Mus musculus: one gene and its partners. The protein of the gene in region 2 purifies or fractionates together with the protein of the main gene of each other region. This does not show direct contact. Links are inferred from orthologs where the notes say so. Each region holds a gene or a part of one and is shown on either strand. Other genes may lie near its edges.

Region 1 (4,345 bases), on a different chromosome or scaffold from region 2:
TCTCTTCAAGATTTAACCTAACTCAAGATTTCACCCAAGTTCTACTAATGTCATTTCTTATTGTCAACATCATTCTGCTATTACTGTGTCTATTAATGATGGTCCTATGATGATCACAAGCTACACTGATACAATTCTAAAACATTTCCCAGTATAGATCTAGGAAGGCCCAGTGAGAAACAAGGTTAGCATAGCTGTAAGACAGCAGAAACTGTTCTAAATTCTAGTTACTTATGTATCCACTACCCATTAAGAAATTCACAATTCAAGTGAAAATTTAAATAAAGGGTGTTACTTTGTTAAACAGACTGTGCTATCTTTGATACAAAATGATGCTTCTAAACTAGGCCTGTGGAAGCCTGCAGGAAGCCTCTGGGCTCACTTAGCTACACTCAACCCACCCTATTAATGGGCAAATGTGAAGTATTAGCAATGACAATATAAAAGAGAAATAATTGGCTCTCACAATATGCTGGCAGCCACAGGGCCCACTAACAGGCCACCATCACAAACTACTTACTATGCCCGGAACCCCCAATTAGGCACTAAAAAAGGTCAACCTGCAGAGAGCCCTGGGTAGTGATTAATTTAGCCATTCAAGTCTCCCCAACTGACGGGGTTGAGGGTGGGGGGTGGGTGTTCCAATGGCTGGGTGTGACAGTATGTGCCTTTTAATCCAAGCACTGACCAACTACTGGGAAGGCTAGAAGGTAGAAATATCTTTTAAATTCAGGGTCAGCCTGATCTATATAGGGAGTTCCAGTATAGCTAGGCTACAGAGAAAGATCTTGCCTCAAAAAAATAAAAGAAATTCAGTCATTCATTCAAAGTTAAGTAGATGGCCTTGTAGGTGAGCAATGATGTCTATCTCCAGTCTACTCTCTGGGCAGTCACATGTTACTGAGCCTTGAGCAGAACATCTTGGCCTTGCCTTTCATCCCAACACCCAGAAGGCAGGGATAGGCAGAGCTCTGCATTCCTGGACAACCAGAGCTACAAGGTGAGAACTTGTCAGAATTCAATAATCTCTTCTAGCAATCATTCATCACTTCAAAGAGAAAAATAAGCTTTTCCTAAAAGTATTAAAAGAAAAAAAGTAGAATAAAAAATCTTGAAGGTTTTCTCTAAAACAGTTATTTCCGAGTATTTTATCTTAAAGATATTAATTTGATTCTAAGAAATGCCAATGCAAGCTGGGCGGTGGTGGAGGCAGAGACAGGCGAATTTCTGAGTTCGAGGCCAGCCTGGTCTACAAAGTGAGTTCCAGGACAGCCAGGGCTACTTAGAGAAACCCTGTCTCGAGGAAAAAAAAAAAAAAGAAAGAAAGAAATGCCAATGCATTTCAACAAAGTCGAAAGCCGTGGGGCTCTTATTAAATGACTTGGACATTTGATGGATAGACATATGGGATCCATACATCAATGTTCCAGATGAAGTAATTTACCCATAATTTCACATTCAATACCCCCCCCACACACACACACCGCAATTGATATTCAAAATGGTCGGTTCTCTTCCCAACTCCTTTTTGCAAAAGATCAGCCCTTTTGTCACAGTGGGGGGCCGGGGGGAAAGCACAAAGTATAAAAACCTGTCTATATTTTTCCCATATTTAAGCAGATAGATACTGACGAAAACGTACTGGAGCATTAGGGACCGCCTTACATTTACATACCAGTACATTCACACTGCGCATTTATTTTCTAACCTCCCAGAAGTGTAACAAGTACAGAGAACTTAGCCTCCCCCTTCTCAAGAAACTGTGGCGGCACGCAATAAACCAAACAAAAGGGAAGCACGGGCCGGACGTGAAAAGTATTTAACAGACAAGTTTTGAGAAAATTCATTTCCCATTTCAAGCGAGTGGATGAGAGGGCAGTGAAGCAATTAGAAAAAGGGTGTTTGTTTTTTTCCTAAAGAAACTCGTTTCATGATTTTCTCTAGAAACTTAAGTTGGCCAAACTCTAGGACAAATTATCGATCAGCGATCATCCTTCTGTTTGGCTTTCTGCGCCCTGAGACTAGCTGAGTAAGCTGCTGCTGCTGCTGCTGCTGCTGCTACTCGCCACTTACATAGGAAGTGCAGGCGCCAGCAGCGACTCCCTCCCGCTCGGTCCAGGGCTTGCCTGCTTCCAAGCGGGAGAGGTCATTCACCCAAAGGGGAAGTGCAAGGAGCACAAGCTGTTTTCCCGGTCCTCTTCCTTCCTGCAGGAGGACGAGGCTGTCTCTCTCCGGCTGCTGGGCGGTTCTGCCCTCAACTTCCCAATGGGCAGGCTTCCCACGGACACGTCCCGGCTTCCACATCCTGGTTTTCCCTAACACACTACCGACGCCTTCAAATCACTGCATCCCAACAAGCCACGACCTCCCTATCCCAGACTCAACGCGGGCGAGTGGGGACGGCCCCCAAGGGGGCGCAGACACCGGCAGTTCGGGCGCGGGCGAGGCTCGTGCACACCGATGGGACCCGCCCTCGCCCCCGGGCCCGGCGGAGGCCGGCCGGCCGCGTCTCCCCGCAGCCCGCCGCAGCTCACCGTCAGGCCGGTGCCCAGCACGATCACGTCGTATTCCTCATTCATGGCGGGGAAAGGAGCGCACGCGGGGGCTCGGAGGCCGCCGTAGAGAAGGGAGCGAGAAGTCCGGCCGCTCTGGGCCCCGGGGGTCGGGGGGAAAGGGAAAAAGCGAGGAGAGGAAAAACGGAGCTGAGGAGGAGGAGAGGCCGGCCGCCACCTCAACGGGAAGAGAAGAGCAGGGAGGGGAGGGAGGGGAGGCGGGGAGAGCGCGGGGTGAGGAGAGCGAGCTCCGGCGCCGGGGCGGGGCGTGCGAGAGGCCGACGGCGCCGTCAGTCAAGGGGATCCTGCTCTCTCATTGGTGAATTTCCTTAACCCCACCTCTCCCCCCCTCGTTCCCCTCTCGCGAGAGAAGGGCGGACTGCTGCCATCTTGGCTTCCGGTTTTGCGCTTTTTTTTTTTTTTTTTTTTTAAATTTCACCCGTCTTGTGCTCCTGTGGTATGGGCGGCGACATGCGAAGCTGAGGGTCTAGTTGAATAGGAGGAACAAGGCGGAAACTGCAGCTGGGCTACCACGTGCCTGACTCTCGCGCCAAGGTGTGAGATGGAGCACGGTTGTTTAGGCTTCGGGCCACGGAGCCCAAGCTCCGCCCTTGGGACTTTGAGAGGTGTACGTGCATCGCCCTGGCCGAGCGGGGCCAAGTCGTGAGGACGCCAGCCTCTCCGAAGGTTGGCAGCCTCGTTGCCTCTGCAGCTTGGCTCCTGGCCCTGCCCCTGCCCCTGCCCGCGCGGGGCTGGGAAGACCTCAGGATTCTGTGTGCCCTGCTTTAAACTTGTATGGTTCTGTTCGAACAAATAAATGTGTTCTAAACTGGTATCCATGCTTTAGGTAAAATGTGGTCCAGAATGGCTTTCCTATATAATGCTCCGCATTCTAGCTTGTGATGCAAAGCAGGTTATAAATTTAAGAGTTGATAACCCTGGTACCCAAGCAACTGGGCTTCAACTAGTCTCTCAGGCTGAAGGCTGCCAAAATGTGCTTATAAAGGCAAATGCTGAATTGCACTATATTTTGTATGTTTGCTGTGTTTCAGCCTCTACATGCAATTACCACACTAGAGGTGGGGCTTCTGAACCATCTTTGGTGTGCTGCCTGGTTCTGGATCCTGATCCTTGTTAAAACTTTGTTGAATCTAATTAATTTCAGAGTTGTTTTGTTTTGTTTGGACAACAGAATTGTCAGGGTGCAAAGTAGACCTTCCAGTAACCCTCAGGACCATTAAAGCAACATTTGCAGGCCCCTTGGACATCAAGCTCCACTGGCTTTGAACTAGCTGTGCTGTGCCTCGGCCCTTAGCACACACCTTTAATCTTGCTGGAATACAGGCACACCCTAAGTGCACACCTTTGATTCCAAAGGTAAAACTAGTTTATTAGAAGGAAGCACCCATGTTTAACAGTGATGTCTAATTGAGTGGCTTGACTGAATCAGAGAAAGGTTTGCCAGGTTATACCCAGCTCTCAAAAGAGAGAGGGAAGGGAAGCTATTTAAGAGGCAGTACAGAAGAGGAGGAGGAAGCAGTTTTACTGTGACAGTTATAAAGGGACAGGTTGCAGAGAGGACAAATTAGACACAAGTAAAGACAGAATGAGTCAAAGAAGAGGCGAAAAACCAAAACAGATTGCTATAGTTAAAGGTCAAGCAGAGCAATTCGGAAGAAGCAGAGAGGAGCCAGATTGAATCAGTCAGCTTGGAGAGGAGTTTGAACCAGAACAGCTGAGTTGAACCATCCAGCCAGAGTTCAGAAAGAACTAGAAAGGGTGAGTTTATTCAG
Region 2 (3,995 bases):
CTGTAATGAGATCTGATGCCCTCTTCTGGTATGTCTGAACACAGTGACAATTGTACTCACCTATATTAAAAAAAAAAAAAAAAAACTTAAAAAAAATGTTTTAAGCCAGCCAGATGGAAAAGGATGTGTAGCTGACCTGTGTTGAGGCCCTTGGCTCCATCCCCAGTATTTCAAAAAGAAAAATTGAACAAACATATATGAGATGCAAAATAAGCAATACAGGTCAGCAAGATGGTTCAGTGGATAAAGGTGCTTGCCACTGAGCCTGATGACTTGAGTTCAATTCTTGGGTCCTACTCAGTAGAAGGAGGAAACTGACTCCTGTAAGTTGCCTTTTGACATTGGAATTTGGGAGCCAGAGGCAGATGATTTCCATGAGTTCCAGAACAGCCTGGTTATATAGCTAGCCTGTCTCAAACAAACAAACAAACAAACAAGGGCTAGGGACACGACTCAATCCCTAAAGTCCTTGCCACAAAAGCATGAAGACCTGGGCATGGTGGCATAAACTTACATAACATTACAGCACTGGTGAGACAAGAAAGAAGGGTCCTGAGGCTTGCTGGTCATCCAGCCTCAAACTTGGTGAGCTCCAGGATCAGTGAGAGACCAAGCAAAGATAGCTTGGTGGGTGAAGGTACTCACCCATAAACCTGACAACCTGAGATCAATCCCCAGGACCCACATGGTGGGAGGAAAAGAACAGACTTTAAAAGGTGTCCTCTGACCCATACATGTGCATAAGCATACACATACACTCCCAATAAAATAATTTTTAAAAATGAGGTGAAGATTGAGGAATAACCCCGACTGTTCCTGTATGCACACAGGAACATGCTCACACACATGCATGCATGCCAAATTGAACAACAACAACAAAACACCCCTGAACTAATGTCACCATGTTGGTGTTGACTAGGAAGTGTCTGAGGATGGGAAACTGAGGTCTGTGTTGAGAACAAACCAGAGCCTGTGGGTAGCTACTGTCACTTCCTGCTTGGTCCTCACCTGAGGGTAACTCCAAAGCTGAGTGTTTGGGTGGGGGTGTGTGTGGGGGGAGAGGCTTTAAATGCACCTGTGCCCAAACCCTCTGCTTCCTCCAGACTGAACCTTCCACTGGTTGTATAGATCTAATCCTCAACCACCCAGGGCACCAGACAAGACAGACAGTGCCATATCTACTCTAAATAAAATTGGGTCAGTGAGGGTTAGAGCTTGCTCAACCTAGAGTTCAAGTATGATGATTCCCTGTCCAGTTCCCTATACTTGACGCCTGACACACGACTGCTTCAGAACACTGACTGGGAAGGAGATATTAGATGGCATTATCACATGACGGTCAGGTCAGGGAGACAACAACTTAGTTGACATTACACAGAAATCATCCCCCAGTTTCCCTTTTCCTTCCAAGGCAGGGTCTCATGCAGCCCAGGCTGGCCTTGAACACTCTATGTAGCCAAGGATGACCCTGAGCACCCGATCTTCCTGCCTCCCTGTCCTTAGTGCTGTCATTACAGGTGTTCACTACCACATCTGGTTTCAGGGTGCTGGAGATGGCACCCAGGGTTCCAACAATGGAACCACATCCTGACTAGGGATAAACCAAGCCTAGTGACTATTCTCTTGTTTCAGGACCATACACCATCCAGGTCACTCTGTTTGGCAGGATTTACTTCCAGGTAACACTCAATGTGAGCCATGACTATTCATGGTAAGGAGCATGGTCAGCACCATTTTTGACGTCAGAACTGGGGCCATCACAAGCCAATTCTGTTCAACTGTGCCGTGAGGCAGCCCTGGGGAAAAGCTGTTCAGGTGGTGTTCTTGGCCCAGTGAAAGGAAGTCAGTCAAGGCTGCACGTAGCCATGGCTGGACTTAGTTTCTTACTGGAACTTTTTCTCTTGTATTCCCACCAGGATGACAGATACTGTCACCATTCCTCAGAGAGAAGGCAGGAGGACTTTGGGTTGGAGTCCTGACTTAGATGTGGATCAGTGGTGCTGGTCCTTTGAAGCTCTGGAACAGCTGAACCTTGAATTTTGGAGTCAGACACACCTGGGTTCAAATCTCATCCCTAATACCTGTAGACTGTGACCTTCAGTGCGTGCCGCACCCTCCCTCAGTTTCAAATTCCTCCTCCAGGGACAAAGCACCCATCACGAGTACACTACAGATTTGATACTGCACATGCCAAGCTTGCCACATAGGAAACTACGAGGTCAGGTGTCACCTCCATGCCTCAGTTTCCACTTTTGGAAGACGGGGGTCTCCCCGGAAGAACAGTGTAGAGGTCTGATGTAAAGACACAGAGAGTTGACAGGCGCCAGGACCCCAGGGCAGGCTCTTCCTCAGACTGCAGCCTGCATGTCCCTGTCTGCACCTTGGTCTCCGGCGCCCGCCAGGGTCCCGGCCTGGACTCCCTGGCGGGAGGTGGAGGCCGCTGCGGTTCTCTGTCCAGCCCCGTGACCCTCCCGGATCCTCGGCCCGAGTGGATCCTGAGTCGATCCCTCAGCCCAGCCCCATAGGGGCGCGTCCAGCCCTGGTCACCGGCCGCCCAAGGCCCCGCTACCTATGGTAGAGATGAATGTGGAGTTGAAGGCGTCCTCGGAGAAGCGGAACAGGACACAGGTCTTCCCTACCCCCGAGTCCCCGATCAGCAGCAGCTTGAACAGGTAATCGTAGGTCTTCGCCATATTACACTCTCTCCCCGACGGGAAGTACGGCCGGCGCCTCGCCACTGGTCGCTGGACCCGTCTATCATCTCAGATCCCGCCCCCTATTGGCCCCCTGCCCGCCGCGCATCATCCAGGCCTACGCCCGCCACCCGGAGCCCCGCCTGTCGCAGAGAGCCCAGGGGAAAAAGGCGAAAGCGGCGCAGAGCCGGAAGCAGCCGACTGCACAGCCCATTGGTTGACGCTTGGTATAGGGAGGTTTGTTATTGGCTAGTGCTGGAGAGTCGAGGGTGAGGGCGTCAAATGACCAGCGATGGGTGTGGTCACATCTTGACCCCGCCTTCCCGTGCGCGCCTTCTCCTCAGCCCTTCAGCGTCCAGGCCCTGCCCCCGACAGGAGGGACCCCAACAATTCCGCGCGCTGGTTGATGAGAGAGTGGGAGGGACGGGCTTGGTGAACAGGCGCAAGCGTACTGGGAAGACGGTTGGCTCTGGCAGAGAGCGCACGCGCGCAGAGAACGCCTCGTGTTTCCCGCCTTCTCTGCCTGCGCAGCAGCAGCCGTAGCCGCAGCCGGCGCTGAGGCGAAGCGCAGGAAGTACCTGTGGTAATGCTTCTGAGGAGGATTTTCGGCGGTGCAAAAGTGGCGCGGGTTAAGATGTGCTGCAGACTCGCTCCTCGGCCTTGGCGCCCACCATTGGACTTACTTAGGTGCTGTACAGGCAAGCCGGCCATTGCCGTGAGCGATCCCAGGGCTTCAGCGCCGGTAGGGCTATGTTATCATTTCCAAGTAATGGCAGCGTTTTTTGTTTTGTTTTGTTTTGTTTTCTTTTCTGTGCTTGCGGGTGCTATCTATACTTAAAAATAAGTCAAGGTCCTTCACCCCACACCAGCCCGGCTTGGTAGGTAATCTTTTCCTCGTTTTATGGTAAGTATACTGAAGACAGGTGAAGTGACTTTCCTAGGTTTCAGAGTAGCATTTTTTTTTCCCTTCTGTTTTTTAATATGTTGAGGTGTAGTCCCGGAGTAACGGGAGAACAGTGACAAAATAAAATAAAGCCACATTAAGATAAACATCTGAGGGCTGGAGAGATGGCTCAGCGGTTAAGACTACTCTTCCAGAGGCCTTGAGTTCAATACCCAGCAACCACATGGTGCCTCATAACCATCTGTAATGGAATCCAGTGCCCCCTTTTGGTGTGTCTGAAGACAACTACAGTGTACTCAAATCTTAAAAAGAAAAAAGGAGTGGGGGGGGGTGGATAGATGGCTCAGTGTTTAAGAGCACTTACTGATCTTCCAGAGGTCCTGAATTACATGGTGGCT
Region 3 (4,142 bases), on a different chromosome or scaffold from region 2:
AGCTGAGAGTTCCAGCCTTGTGCAGTCTCTGAAGGTATAGATTATTCATTGATTCCAGAATCCCAGCTCTTACTGTGTGTGGAACCTTGTGGAACCATCTGATCCATGTCAATGTGTCTCCTAGATCCAGGCCTTCAATGTGACTGGTGAACAGTTCTCCTATGCTAGCGACTGTGCTGGTTTCTTCTCTCCGGGCATCTGGATGGGTCTGCTCACCACCCTCTTCATGCTTTTCATATTCACCTATGGTCTGCACATGATACTCAGCCTAAAGACCATGGATCGCTTTGATGACCACAAGGGCCCCACCATCACTTTGACCCAGATTGTGTGACATACACCTGAGAGGAATTGAGGGAGTATTGGTGTCTAGGTTGTCATGTTTCTGTTTTGTGACACAGTGGATGGAAAGGTTTGTCCTCTTCCTACTATAGCATGAACCCTACATACGCCACCCTCAGTCTCTCTTGCTTCCTCTTTAACCCGGAGAGGGACTCCCCTGTGGCTATCCCCCATCTCTACCAACAAAGTGTATTCTTCATAGATATTAGATAAATCTTCCAGGCTTCATCATCAAGAGGGGAAGGGACCTTAATTCTAGGGTCTCCCCTTTACCCTCTCTCCTTATTTATTCTTGCCCCTCTGCTATTATTCCTTGCTGTTTATAGTGCTTTTGTGTAGTAAATGCTCACTCCCCAAGCTTTATGGAGCTTCCAGCAACAGCCATGAACTTGAGGTTCCTTGAATTTGCGAGGTGTGGAAAGACTACTTGACTGTCTGTCCAGCTTAGCTGTTATGTTTTTTGGGGGGGAGGGGTGATGTGTTAAGAGTGAGTGGTACACTGGGGTTTATTTCTGTGGCCTGGGAAGGAAGAAACCATCACGAGGATTGGTGAACAAAGTGTGCTCACTGGGTTTCTGGATTATTCCCATAAAGACTGCCTGTCAAGAGGCCGGAGGTGTGTGTGGGGGGTTGCTCTGTTGTTTCCTTCCTAATAAAATAAAGACGTGTTGCCTTGTGTTGGGCTTCGTGTCACTCATTTCTGCACTGAACAGTAGATTTTTTTTTCTTGACTGAAGGGAAGAAGTGCTCAGATGTAGTCCAGTCATGCAAGAGGTGAGAGAGGAAGGGTGGGAGGGTCTTCAGTAAGCTGATACTCTTAACAAACCTACTTAGAGTAGAGGCTTGTTACTTTTCCTGGCCTTGGGAGGAATCCTGACAATGGTAGCTCCGCTACTGTGCAACAACACACAGCAGGGCTTCCATACCTTGTGTTTCTCCCAGGGGGCGGTACGGGAGCGCGCGGGGCGGGGCGGGGCGCGCGCGGCTCCCGCGCAAGGATCTTTCGGAGGACTCAGCACCTGCTGCCGGCCTGCCCCGCCCCGTATTTTTCTGGGCTCACGAAGAGCCCCGATAACCCCTGCAGTCATTCTGGTGCTGGGACCCAGGTGACAGAAGCCCTCCCAGAAAACAAGCAAGGAAATGATGACTGGTTGGGCGGGGCGGGGCCAGCGGAGAGAGAGAGGGACTCATTAACGCTGCGTAGGGATCAGGAGACAACCGACAGACGCCATCTTTGGTTCAGTGCGGCGGCAGTGACAGAAGCAGCGGCAGGGGCAGCAGCAGCAGCGGCAGTAGCAGCAGTAGCAATAGTAGAGGTAGTGGTAGCGGCTGCTGTGGTGAAGGAGGAGGAGCAGAGCGGACGCTGGTACCAAGGCCTGATCATGGATGAGGAATACGATGTGATTGTGCTGGGGACAGGTCTTACCGTAAGTGCCACTTCAGGCTCTCATAGCCCTGCATCATGCCATCCCTCCCCACCCCACGCCATCCCTCCCCACCCCACTCCATCCCGCATTGATGCAGAGTCCGGTATCCGATCCATCCTCCCATCATCCTAGCTCCAGCCCTGGGAAAACCAACCCCATGCCCAACCCACTACCTCACCCTAGGATGTCGATTCCAGTTCCCAATTCTCTGTAGAGGGCCCCACTTTGTCCTGTGTTCCTGCACTCTAGTACTTAACCTCAGACCCCTATTCTTCCCTATCTCTATCACCGAGGTGGAAAACTCACCCCCCCACACACACAGTGGAACCATTGCACCCAGCCCCCACCCTTTGCCTGAACTCATCACCTGCTCCAAGGCCTTGATTAGCATCCCTTACCATCTTGTGATCAAACTAGGGGATGGAATATGAAGATGGGTATGGGGACATTACAAGGGTGGGCCCTCATCATGCTTTTCTGCTTTTTGGGATGGGATAGGAAACCCATGGAATGTTCCAGAGACAGCAGGAGTGTGTGTGTGGGGGGTGTGGGGGGGGGGTAGTGACCACTTTACCTCTGCCCCAACTTGGTTTCCCATGGAGATCTCAGACTGAATATATATCCTCAGCCTTTGTCCTTGGGTTAGTGACTGACTGGTGAGGGTGTTTGTCTCTTCCCTGCCCCCGCCCCCCCCAACCCCCACCCCCGGCCTAAATCTTTTTAGTTTGAACCCTGAGTCTAGACCAGTGGATAGGGCCAGAAGAGAGTCAGGGGCTCCTGCCCTTTGAAGGAGGAGCAGGGTGGGGCCTGGGATTTCAAGGACTTGGCCTTCTCTTTCAAAGGTCCTTTGAATTGGTTCTTCTTGTAGACTCATTGTCTTTTTGTGGGCTCAGAGAAGTAGATACTTCTCTTGGCTTGTTGATGCTGGAAGACTTGGAAGCTGAAAGCTCTGCCCCCCAAACCTCCTTTAATGCTCCAGTAGTTTACTCAGCAGGGTTGTAAAGGAAACATCATATGAAGCCATCTTCTCCTCCCCAGTTTTAGGCACTGAAAAGAGCTGCATTATAAAATTGGTGGTGGGCATGAAGCAAGTTGGAGGGTTATGGGGTATAGCTGCAAATGTCACTCCTTCCCCAGGAATGCATCCTGTCTGGCATCATGTCTGTGAATGGAAAGAAGGTGCTGCACATGGACCGAAACCCCTACTATGGGGGTGAGAGCTCTTCCATCACACCCCTGGAGGAGGTAAGATTTCTTATTCTTAGACCTGGGCTTAGACCCAGATCCTTGTTAGTCTTCCACATAGGTATAAGGGGGCGAAGTAATTCTCAGGTACTGGGCAGGAGAGTGGGAAAGGGCGACAGGTCCTTGACATTTTTCTTTCTTTCCTGTCCTGCTTACAGCTATATAAGCGCTTTCAGATACTGGAAGGGCCCCCTGAATCAATGGGCCGGGGCCGAGACTGGAATGTTGACTTGATCCCCAAATTCCTCATGGCCAATGGTGAGAGAGATTAAAAAGATGCTGTATATGGTTTTGGGGGTGGTGAGTGGGAAGACGGAGTGGGGAGAGATTGGTCAATCTCAAGAATATGGTCAGTCAGACTACTGAGAGTTTTTGAAGGAAAACACAACAATGTCCCTTATTTCCTCTGGACACAGGTCAGCTGGTAAAGATGCTACTATATACAGAAGTGACTCGATATCTGGACTTCAAGGTGGTAGAGGGCAGCTTTGTATATAAGGGGGGCAAGATCTACAAAGTGCCATCCACCGAGACTGAGGCCTTGGCTTCTAGTGAGTATGAGTCTCCTTAACCAGAGAATAATGGGGCTGGATGAGACAGACTATTTTCAGGACAGTTAGGCAAAAGGCTCATCTTTGCCTGAAACTAATCTTAGCTCTGTGTAGTCCTAGAGGACCCTTACTTTATAGTGTATTGATTGGACAGTGCTACCCATCCTGGCAAGTTGCCAGAAAGTTCACAGAACAGGATTCCTTTTTGTCAGAGGGCCTACTTGCCCTGTAGCATCCCTACGTGGAACTAGAAGGGTTTCTTCCTACAAAAAGAAAATTGAGATCAAGAAGGGTGGGGTAGTGTTACATGATAGAGTATTGGTGGGAGCCAATACTCTACATTACATACAACCAGCTTTCTTGGCCTGCTCTGGTGGAAAGAGGAGTTCTATGTCCCAGTAATGCTAAGGGTCTTCTCAATACCTTTCTTTCAGATCTGATGGGCATGTTTGAAAAACGACGCTTCCGAAAATTTTTGGTGTTTGTGGCAAACTTTGATGAGAATGACCCCAAAACCTTTGAGGGTGTTGATCCCCAGAACACCAGCATGCGTGATGTCTACCGGAAGTTTGACCTG

Evidence for each region. The genes of interacting proteins can lie anywhere in the genome.
Region 1: the proteins of Rab8a (region 2) and Gdi2 purify together in Homo sapiens (co-immunoprecipitation; 5 studies listed by BioGRID and IntAct, with this or other methods). This does not show direct contact. The link is inferred for Mus musculus from reciprocal best matches to the Homo sapiens genes RAB8A and GDI2.
Region 3: the proteins of Rab8a (region 2) and Gdi1 purify together in Homo sapiens (co-immunoprecipitation; 6 studies listed by BioGRID and IntAct, counting the BioPlex papers as one, with this or other methods). This does not show direct contact. The link is inferred for Mus musculus from reciprocal best matches to the Homo sapiens genes RAB8A and GDI1.

The regions. Positions count from the first base shown.
Region 1 is NC_000079.6:3,536,533-3,540,877, reverse strand, and holds the start of Gdi2 (rab GDP dissociation inhibitor beta), read right to left. Parts: upstream 2,804-4,345; 5' UTR 2,580-2,803; coding exon 2,535-2,579; intron 1-2,534. UniProt on the Homo sapiens protein: GDP-dissociation inhibitor preventing the GDP to GTP exchange of most Rab proteins. By keeping these small GTPases in their inactive GDP-bound form regulates intracellular membrane trafficking.
Region 2 is NC_000074.6:72,160,057-72,164,051, reverse strand, and holds the start of Rab8a (ras-related protein Rab-8A), read right to left. Parts: upstream 2,853-3,995; 5' UTR 2,694-2,852; coding exon 2,570-2,693; intron 1-2,569. UniProt on the Homo sapiens protein: The small GTPases Rab are key regulators of intracellular membrane trafficking, from the formation of transport vesicles to their fusion with membranes.
Region 3 is NC_000086.7:74,303,673-74,307,814, forward strand, and holds the start of Gdi1 (rab GDP dissociation inhibitor alpha), read left to right. Parts: upstream 1-1,339; 5' UTR 1,340-1,724; coding exon 1,725-1,769; intron 1,770-2,906; coding exon 2,907-3,014; intron 3,015-3,172; coding exon 3,173-3,272; intron 3,273-3,430; coding exon 3,431-3,565; intron 3,566-3,999; coding exon 4,000-4,142. Other genes in the region: Atp6ap1 (V-type proton ATPase subunit S1 isoform 1 precursor), read left to right, coding at 125-334. UniProt on the Homo sapiens protein: Regulates the GDP/GTP exchange reaction of most Rab proteins by inhibiting the dissociation of GDP from them, and the subsequent binding of GTP to them. Promotes the dissociation of GDP-bound Rab proteins from the membrane and inhibits their activation.